Regions from separate parts of the Mus musculus genome. Here region 1 is reported to be linked to region 2. Evidence: microRNA targets listed by miRTarBase, many of them from high-throughput screens and not tested one by one. Region 2 holds a microRNA gene; the other region holds the end of a gene's coding sequence.
The links. Region 2 holds the annotated microRNA mmu-miR-9-5p (UCUUUGGUUAUCUAGCUGUAUGA, at 2,606-2,628, shown strand). A microRNA usually pairs through its seed, bases 2 to 8, with sites in the 3' UTR of a target mRNA and lowers its output. Matches are read on the target gene's strand: a 7mer-m8 pairs with bases 2 to 8, a 7mer-A1 pairs with bases 2 to 7 and ends in A, and an 8mer does both.

Region 1 (5,072 bases), not on the chromosome of region 2:
AACATTAGTTTTTTTTTTTAAAGAGTAAAACTACAACTTCTCCATCTACATTTTAACTGTCTCTGTTCTCTTTGACAACCAAATCCTAAGTATTTTTATTTTTATTTATTTTTGGTTTTTCGAGACAGGGTTTCTCTGTATAGCCCTGGCTGTCCTGGAACTCACTCTGTAGACCAGGCTGCCCTCGAACTCAGAAATCCGCCTGCCTCTGTCTCCCAAGTACTGGGATTAAAGGCATGTGCCACCACTGCCCGCCTTCAAATCCTAACTTATTTCTGTTGTTTTCAGACAGTGTCAGGTAGCCCAGGCTAGCCTAACTAACACAAAATTGACCTTGTTCCTTCACTTCCTACTAGTTCTCCACCTCCCAAGCGCCTGGGGGGATTGCCACCACACCTTGCTCCTGACTTTTTTTTTTTATTTTTAAAGGTAAACCGTTCTATTAGAGAAATGAGGACAGCCGGCTATCCCTGTGGTCCAGGCAGGCGGCTTTGGTCTCCAGTTCCAGTCGAACCTGTGCCAGAAAACAGCAGGACACTAGGGGACACCTAGAGCCTGTTTGTCCTTTGTGTTGACTTTTTCTCCTCCCTGCTTGAAGGGAAAAACTTCCCTGGTTTCTTCCTCAGCAGGAACTCATCCGTCTGGGCGCCCTCTGTTTAAACTTAAGTCCTGGCACCTAATACATCACGCGTGGGATTAGTCACAAGCTGGGCTGTCTCGGTGGCTAAACAGGACTGCATTGCCACCAAAGTTGTCATTTTAGCGCCAGCTGCAGGCTGCCGGGAGCTTAGTAGGTGCTCAAGGTGCTTAGAAACGAGGCTCCCCTCTCTTAGGGTCCCCAGCATCCTTGTCCGGTGCAAGGCATTTGGGGTGGGGGATGTCCGAGGTGGTCCCTGCCTGCCTTCTCCTGTCCCGCTGGCCTGACTCCTGGCAGGGCCCTGCAGGCCTCCGGTGCCCCGACCCTGGCCCCCGCCCAGCTCCGCGGCTTCTAAACGCTGCCCCGAGCTACCGGGAGAACTGGAAAAACACTGGCAGGCCGCCCCACCCCCAGCGGGTCGGGCGGCCGAGACTCTGCGGCTGGGGCCTGCTGCCTGGGCGGCGCTGGCCCGGGGCGGGGAAGCGGGGGCGGCGGCCTGCCTGTCAGCGGGAGCGGGCGCGGGCTCGTGTGTCAGCGGCTCCCGCCCCTCGCCGCCCCCGCCGCCGCCCGCCGGGCCTCCCGCCGCCGCCGCCCGCCCTCCCCGCGGCCTGGCAGGCTGCCGGCTGCACAGGCGGGGGTTCGCGCCGTTCTCACGACCTCTCAGGTTGCCTGAGCTCATCTGGGAGCTATTCATTTCCTGCCAGAAAGCAGCCGGGCCTGCTGGGCGAGCCACCTTGGCCGCAGGGCCGCCGGGGCCGGCCCGGTGTGGCTGCCCTGGGCCGCTCCCGCCCGGCCGCGGTCCCCGAGGCCTCCCAGGAACCCCGAGCCACCCCGGCGGGCGCGCGGCGGGGGCAGCTCGCCCGCCCATCTGGTTGCACTTAGAAGCCCGGAGGAAGTGAGCGGCGGGTTGTTACCGGCCAAAGGGTGTGGGGAAAGTTAATTGACTTTAATGACAGGTTCCCCGTGACGATGTGGGGGTCTGGTTAAACCTCTGGGTCCCCACTGCAGAAGCGCGTGGGAGGGGTCAGGATGAGACCCCGAGGAAGGGGCGAGCCTCAGTTGCTCACCCAGAATCAGGCCCTCACCTCTATCTACCTCTGTAGATTGCTGCCAGAACCTCCGGAGAGCAGAGAGGCTCCAAGGACCTTCAAGGAGAGGCCCTCGAGGTCTCTGGCCTCAAGGACAGAGTTTGGAGCTGTGTCTTATCACAGGAGAGATCTACTCATCCGGATCTGGTTAGAGGGGCAAGGCAGCTGGGTGTGCCCTGAGGTGGTATAATTAGGCCAGGCCCAGAGGATCTGTAGGGATGCCAGAATAAACTGGAATGCTTCATCTCCCCAACCCCCAGCTACTGATTTAAGAAACAGCAGGGATACAGGAGGCAGCAGTGTCTAAGAAATAAATCTATAGCGTTTATGAACTTGGACCTATCCTAGAGAAGGGAAATGACTTATCCAAGGTGGTGCCTGCCATAAGTTCAGTGGTATAGAACAATGTAAAAGCTCCCAACGGGGATATAGGCTTTCTTCTACTCCATATTATACTTGAACAGGCTTCATTTAATAATGTAAATCCAAATTACGGGGGGGGGCACTCCTTTTCAAAAAGAACAAATGGTTTCTTTTCCTCTCACTTCTTCCTGAAGCTGCTGCGTGACACTTTTGGTGACATTAATAAAGATGCATGAAGAAATTAATTTCCCTTGTAGCCCCCTCCTCCATAGATGTAAAAGGAATTACTTTTATAAAATTGAGTTCCTGATGTCTTGATTATTTCTACTACAGAAGCTAGGAATTCTTGGTGGAAACAGAGGACTTTAATATCTAAATTTGGGATGTGTCTTAATGGAGTAATTGTTACTATGTTTATGTATAAACAAAAAGGAAAACCAGGAAAAAATGGAATGACAAAGTATGCGTTGAATACCTTTCTTGGGCAGAAAATAAGGCAAATAGGAGCCAATTAAACAAAACAAAACAAAACAATCTTTTAAACCTCTCTCTCCGGGGGTCGAAGCTGAAGGTCCTGGAAAGAACCGGCTGCTGTCTGCTAGATCATTCCTGTGATAGAGCCGCACTCGGCGCTGGCCTGTGGGAAAGGCTACAGCCAGGCGGGGGAGAGGTAAGGCTTTTGAAACAAGACAGAAAATCGTTGGCTTTATCTTTGTTAGGAAAGCTTCAAAGATTGATCTCTCCCGCCTCATCCTTCTCCTCCCAGAAGCCGCCGCTGTAAGGGAAAGGGGGTAGGGGGTTGAGAGGCGGGCGGGAGGAGCGGGGGCTGGGCGGAGGACTGGCCGGCTGTGGGGGAGGAAGGGCGCGCCGGCCAGACCCACAGCGCGGCTGATGTGTCTGGTCTCGCAGGGCTCGTGGTTTTCATTTCCCCAACACCTGGATGCAGTCAAACACCTGGCCAAATCTGAGAAAATCTGACAAGCCTTTGTGATGGGATTTGGAAGAAATTCCCTGCAGATCCTGGCACAGTTTAAAGCTGTCCGCTTTGAGTTAGGACTTGTTAAGGAGGGTTGTGTGAGCTGAAACCCGAGACAACCCTTTTGCTTCTATCTGGAGCCCACATCTTGCCTGGAAATGGGGCATGACCATGCGAAGGGGTCGCTTGCTGTTTGTATTAAAAGGGGAAAAACGGCCCGTGTGCCTGCCAGCGCAACCCCCACATGCTTTCTCCATTAAAGTCAAGCGCAGAAACTTATCAGAAACATATGTCTGCTGTTAATCATCTGGCCCGGGCTCCACTTGGGAGTCTAACTAGTTGTACCCTGGCAGAGAGAATCTGTTGACCTTTTCAGCTTGCTTGAAGAGGGTGAAGAGAGGCATTTCAAACTTTGTGATACGGGTGCCAGGGGATGCCTAGCTACGCCTGAGTAAGGACAGACAAATGAAGGTCCCAATGCTGGAGGGCTGCAATGTGGCTTGAGCGCGCTTTTACTTTAGGAGGCCAGTGGCTACTACAGGGAGTGAGTTGGGAGCCGCCCTTTGGAAGGTAAAAAAATAAGGACTGTTTATCAGGAAAGCCCCATCAAATGAATTCTCATAAATTAGGTCTTCTTAGATCATTGAGTGTTGCTGAAAGGTTTGATGGTTCCTGTTTAAAACTTTAAAAAATACATCCTATTTCTGAATTGCCAAACTACATGAATTTCAAGCCCCACCACTTTTTTTTTTTTACAAATTTTGAAATAATCAGTTCTAAGACATAAAAGCCTTCACTCTTTTATTATATTTTCTCAAATAAACTTCCCCAAAGGAAGATATTTTAAGAGCATTTTCAAACATCTTTGGCATCACATAAAAAAAGAAATCTCGTGTAAAAAACGAAATGTCATCTCAACTTTTATAATACAAAGGCGCAATCCAATATGAACATATAAAATATATACAAATGCAGTGCATGGTCAGTCACTTAATACAGCTCTCTACAAAAAGTAACTTTTTAGAATTAAAAAAAGCAACAAAATAACCACCAAATTATAAAAGTCTCTCCTAAAATCCAAGTTCGTTTTTAGTGTCCGTCAGAAGAGAGAGGTGGGCTAGGGACTTTACGGGTAGCAGTGGCCTGAGGCTCTCAGTTCCGCCACGGTCTCCACATGGAGTCCGAAGTGAGCGAGGAGCCACTGGAAGGTGACACTGCGTTAGGACCCACCGAGGTCCCACTGTTGCTGGTGTAGACCGGGATGACCGGGCCGCTGTGAGCGAAGGCCCCGTTGGGGATGAGAAAGGCAAATTGGCCGTCAGGAGCCGGCACCACTTGGAAGCCGCCAAAAACCTTGGCAGCCTCTCCAGCCTGGCTGCCCAACTTGCAGGGTGCGCTGCCGGGAGGGGGCGCCGCGCCCCCGGGGATGGGCACAAGCGGCGGCGGCGGCGGCGCGAATGGCGCGTGCTGGGGACCGGCAGGTCCTGACGGGGGCGGCGGCGGCGGCGCCTGCAAGGCGGGGTGCGCCTGCCCGGGGTAGGTCATGGCGTTGATCTGGGTCATGCAGTTGGCCAGGTGGCCCAGCAGCCGAGTGCGCACCTCGGTGTTAACGCCCTCACACGTGGACAGGAAGCGGGTCACCTCGTTCATGCACTCGCTGAAGCCGGCGCGGTATTTCCCCAACACGCTCGGGTCTGTGCTGAGCGCGGCTGCAGGCCAGAAGGAGAAAAGATGGGTCACCGAAAAGCCCTGGCCCCGGAGCCATACAGCCTCCCGCCCTGGGAGGTCCCCGCAGCGCGCCTCCGGAACCACCTGGGGTTGGGAGGGTTGGGTAGGCTAAGAACAGCCAGCTCCTTCTCCCTAGGTTGGGGACATAAGCCAGGACACTCCCTCCATCTAAACCGATCTCAGCTCCAGATCTGCCACCCCTAGTCCCGCGCGCGACCTGACCTTGGACAATGCCACCCAAGGCGCCTTCCAAACCCCACTTCCCCTCCTGCGGCAGGGG
Region 2 (5,072 bases):
CAGAACATCCTCCAAAGGGCAAGCAATGGATGACCCAAGGCCCACACTCACTGTGGCCTCCTTCCTGAGAGAGAGCTGATAACACCTTCATGCACCCGGACACTGGAGACAGAGCCCACTCCAGCATGGTGTAGGAACCTCTGCCTGGCTGGCCTCACCTGCTTTGGCAAGGGACATGGTTTCCTAAAGGACAACAGAAATGTGGCTTTGGTGGCACTAACCTGCCTTACCTGAACAGAAAGCAAAATCAAGCTTTTTAGTCTTTCTCCCAGACTCCTAACCAGCCCTAGGCTCTCAGGCCAGGGCTCCAGCGTGCTATAACCATGAACCTCACAGCCGAGGAGCCATTTTGTGCAGCGTCCTGCTTAAATCACACTCTGAGAACGCTCCTTCTCTCTTTCCCCTCTCTCCTGCTCCCCACTCCCCCTCTTTCTTCTCCCTCCCCCTCTTTCAGGTGAATCGTGCTTGCACAGTTCCCTCTGCCTCTTCAGTTCCACCCATCCAAGCTCAGGGTGGCCCAGAAGGACTAGAGCGCAGGAGGCCGCCCACACTGACAGACACACAGCTAAATGGAAGAGGGTGTAGATTCCAGAGGCTGTAGGAGGAGAAGAAAGGGACACCTCCTAATTATGAAAAATCCTTTAGAATTAACCAGGCAGGCCCAAATTCGAGGTTCCTTCCTGGGCCTTGCTGTCGGTAGGTCGGCCCCTCTGTTTCTCTGATGCTTTTCAGTCTAGCCTGTGTCCTTTTTCTGAGACAAGGATTTGTCTGTGAGGTGGCATTTGGAAAGAGGTGTGTAACTGCTAGCTGGCTTGCTCACTGGCTGACAGGGATGGCAGTGGGGATGCAGCCCACCTTGGATTTGGGGTCAAGATAAAAAATAGGACGAATCTAAAACAAGCACGGGGTACAGAGGTGTGGTGCCAAAGCCTGGTATTAAACAAAAAAAATCCAGATGTGTCATTTAAGGGAGACTGCTTTAGATACCTTTAGAAAAATTCCCTGATCCCTTCCAAATCACCCACTTTGGGCCTATTCTTTGAACCCAGCCTTATGGGATTTGCTGATGGAGAGTGTGTAAGGGGTGCCCCCCCCCCCGCCTCACCAAAACAGATCTGAATGAGTACCCCCACCAAATCTGGGCTGCTTTGGGGATGCCTTAGCACAGAGAGTCTTTGGGACTCCCTCATAGTCACTGCTGGAATCCTGGAACCCGCTACCCCCCACCCCCACTCTATTGTTAAGTCAATCTCTAGATCTTGGATTTAAGATCTTTCTAGGGATGACTGGGGGGGGGGGAAGGAGATATCGAATTTTTCATATTTAATCCTTTGCCTCCCAGGAATGGGTGAAGGGGGTGAATCAGGGCTCATAGTGGGAGGGGTGTACAGGAGCAAGGAAGACAGGATGGGTTTCAGGTGAGCAACCTCTAAACCACCACGTTTAGGAGACTGAGACGGGACTTCAGTTTGGTGGCCAGGCTCAATTCTACTGTGAAACCTCAAAATGTCAATTCTTTTGCCCTGTAAAGTCACTTGGAGTAAGTGGGCTAGGGTGTGCTGTGAGCAGAAAGATGGCAGGAGCTGATTATTTTTATGGGAGGTGAATAGGAGCCCAATTACGGCCTTGGATATCTTTAAGGCGCAGGGGCACAATTGATTACATATCCTTGGCTGTACTAGGAATGGTCAGAGGGAAAGGGCTAACAATCTGGTGCCGACATTTAGGACCTGGTTTGAGCGAAGCATGCCATGGGAATCCCTACAAGTCAGGCAATATATATGGGATACATTGATCTAGACACCCACTCCTTCCCTTAATCCCCAGTCTCTACCGCGGTGTCTGTACAGTGCTGGGCAAGAAAAAAAAGGAAGAGAGACCTTAAGGATAAAGTGACCGGTTCGCAGCCTCTCCTGCGCTCACTTGGTTGCCTTGGAGAGACCTCGACCTTAAACCTCTTCCCTCAAACTCTAACTCTGGTGGTCTGCGGTGGCTGCCAGGCACCTAAGACGTTGCTGGGAGGTCAGAGAGGTTTGAGAGAAAGGCCAGACTGTGTGCATCCAAGCAAGCAGGCCTAAGGCTTCTGAGGGCAGAAGAGGCGCTCCCCTGTCCTCGCGGCGCAGAAGCCGTGAACGCCGAGGCCATTGTAAGGCTGGGTGGTGCCGAGCGCGGGAAGGGGGCTGGGATTTGAATGGAAGCCCGTGATAGGCCGATCCCCCGACTGACGTCACTTCCCCGCGGGGCGATTAGCCTGCGAGAGGAGGGCTGATGGTCCAGTGCGCTGGGGGCCGCCAGGGCGCCCGAGGCTGCCCAAGCGCAGAGCGCCGGTTACCCGAGTGCGCCCCGGGACGGCGTCGAAGCGGGCCGCGCACGCACTGGACGGGGAACTGGGGATGGAGAAATCGCGAGGGCGAGGGAGGAAGGGAGCTGGGCGATCCGGGTGGCGGGAGTCCGTGTGTCTGTGTGTCTGTCGGTCCCCTCTGGCTCTCCGCGTGCGCCCGGGGCTGCGGGAGCGGAGTCCGCTCAGGCCCCCGCGCCGGGTCGGCGGCGGCACGTGGGGCCCACAGCGCGGCAGCGGTGCCGGCGAATGGGAGGCCCGTTTCTCTCTTTGGTTATCTAGCTGTATGAGTGCCACAGAGCCGTCATAAAGCTAGATAACCGAAAGTAGAAATGACTCTCACAACTTCTGCGTGCGATGGCCCGGCCGGCCGCCCTGGCCACAGGAGCCAGAGGAGCCCAGAGAAGCCCACGCCACCCAGGGATTCCAGCTCGACGGAGCGGCCACGCCGGGACCAGGTATCCGACCTCGGCTCTCCTGGGGACACTTGCCGTGTCCTGGAGGCATTCCCTTCACCTCCTCCTCGGTCCCTGCACCCCCATCACCATTTCCCAGCGCCGAGGCTGGAACCCCGAAGTGGAGTGGGTTGGGGGCAGGGAACGGGCTGGGGTTGCAGAGGGGTCGCTGGCGGGGAAGGCGCCAGCCTTTGCCTTCACCCCATAAATCAGGCTAGAACAATCCACGCCCTGAGCTGCAGACTAGGATTTTGGGATGCAAATGCGATGAGAAAGAGAACGGAGAGAGGAAGGGAGAGAGGAAGGGAGAGAGAGAGGAAGGGGGAGAGAGAGAGAGAGAGAGAGAGAGAGAGAGAGAGAGAGAGAGAGAGAGAGAGAGGAGAGAGAGAGAGAGACCGGTAGGCAGTGTGTAGGGGGAGTAAAAGGGTGGGCAGGGGGCTGCCCTGCCGCTAACAATGCAGCCTTTATCGAATTATTCGACGAGTCAGCCCCTGAGCACCATTAGCATACGGCTGGGGGGTTGCTGGAGCTTCGCCCCTCGGTGAGGTCAAGTTCTTGATAATTTGATCACTTTTCACCGGCTCTGGCAGCTGCCTTTGTGTGCAGTTGGGGGGTCTGTGTGCAGCGTGAAGCGGAGCAGAACTGGCGGGGAGTGTACTCAATGGCAAGGGGCCTAGGCGGGGGGCCTCCCGCCCCGACCGACCGGCCCTGCCCTGCATACAAACCAAGAGCAGGCTGCTGGGCGGGAGAGACGTAGCCCAGATCCTCTAAACCTCTATAGTTCTGGTCGGACGGCTGGGGCCGGAGCCTCCCCAACTTCCCCAACTGGTTAAGGGGGAAGCCAGGCTCTCTGGAGCTCCTCTCCTTCCCGCCCCAATAAATGGCAACATAAGATGTATTACAATGTCTAGCAAATAAAAAAGCAATTGGGGGAAAAAATCTGAATTCCGTTCCCATGGCAACCCAATGCTGCACACCGGCCACTCAAGCTCCAGGTCCCTCTTAGCTGGGCGCTGCGAGTGGGGCGTGCCAATGTTCTGTGTCCGTGGTTCTTAGCCCCACAAGGAGCGGAAGGTCCCTTTGAGGTTTCTCTGCCTTCAGGTCCCTCTCCTTCCTGCCACTCCCTTTACTCTTTCCTTATCTTGAAGTTTGGGGCCCCCTGCAACTTAGGAAACCATTAGGGCTCCCGCGTGGTGGATGTAGACCCAGCTATGGACCCTATCAAGTGTAGGGAAGAAAGGATCCAAAGTCAGTTCACATACCTTAAGGCTTGGGGTCTTTTGGGGTTCTTTAAGGCACATATCAGTGTATACATGCTTTAGCAGATTGACTGGGAAGGATTAGTGCTACCATCCTGACTTGACCCGCTTTCTTTTCCTTGAACATATTAAGGAAGCAGATCTGGGGGGTGAGGGCCTACTCCTTAGGGAGTAGCACACACAGCGCAGAAGTGCAGAGGTGGGCACTACCTAGGTCACCTTACCTCCATCTTGGCCCAGTTCAATCCCAAGAGCCTCTTGCCTTAGTTATTTATAAGATTGGTCTCTCAGCCTCTATCCAGAACCTGCCCAGCCCCCTTGTGATAATAGAAATCTTTTTCCATCTTTGTGCCTACCAGCCGTTCCTCCCCCCCCCCCACACCCTTTGCTTAGCAAAATTATCTTAACAACAAAAAGGTGACTTGTGTAAAAGTAAAAATAAATTCAGTGATACAAAGGAGAACCTCCTGGGTCTGGGGAGGGGCAAGGTGTGGCTTCCATACGGTAGATGGAGAGTTTTTCACTGCATTGCCTTGGAATGTTAGACAAAATTAAACGCGGTGGCAGGAAAGCAGCTGTCTCTGTGCCTCCTTCTCAGGGACTCATTGGGTGGAAGGAAGGGGTTCGAGGTCCTTTCATCTTTTCCTTCCCGTTTCTTAGGCCTGTGAAGGGTCACTCGCGTGTTTGAGGACCCAGGAGCCTCCCTCCCCCCAACTGCATCTACTGGGCTTGCTCCCCCTTCCTGGTGCACCTGGGAGCCTGTGTGCTGGTGGTGACCTCATTTCTGAGGAAAGCAGAGCAGCTCTCTCAGCCTGCTTGCCCAGCACTCCCTGCCTCCACGTCTCACGGATGGGCTGGGGCTTCCCCAGAGCCTGCCCCGGTACTCAGAGCCTTCTCTTCCCTGGCCCCTCTCCTTTGCTATTTTTGTAAGAGCCAGTCCTTCCTACACCAAGGTGGTCACATAGCTTCACGACTGTGTCTTAGGTGTAGTTCAAATGTGTGTCGCCTTTGGTTCTTTTG

Region 1: miRTarBase lists Hes1 as a target of mmu-miR-9-5p. Seed matches in the 3' UTR shown: 7mer-A1 at 3,927-3,933.

Annotation. Positions count from the first base shown.
Region 1 is chr16:30,066,573-30,071,644 of GRCm38, reverse strand. Hes1 (hes family bHLH transcription factor 1) reads right to left here. Exons shown (of 4, transcript NM_008235.2): 4 at 3,849-4,773. The coding sequence ends at 4,217. Gm32998 (a long non-coding RNA gene) reads left to right here and starts at 1,207. Exons shown (of 3, transcript XR_876001.2): 1 at 1,207-1,532; 2 at 1,715-2,758; 3 at 2,998-3,782.
Region 2 is chr7:79,502,674-79,507,745 of GRCm38, forward strand. Mir9-3 (microRNA 9-3) reads left to right here and starts at 2,591; the gene lies at 2,591-2,680. All of the region lies in intron 1 of Mir9-3hg (Mir9-3 host gene), which reads left to right. It overlaps Gm51285 (predicted gene, 51285), which reads right to left and starts at 2,663; the gene lies at 2,606-2,663.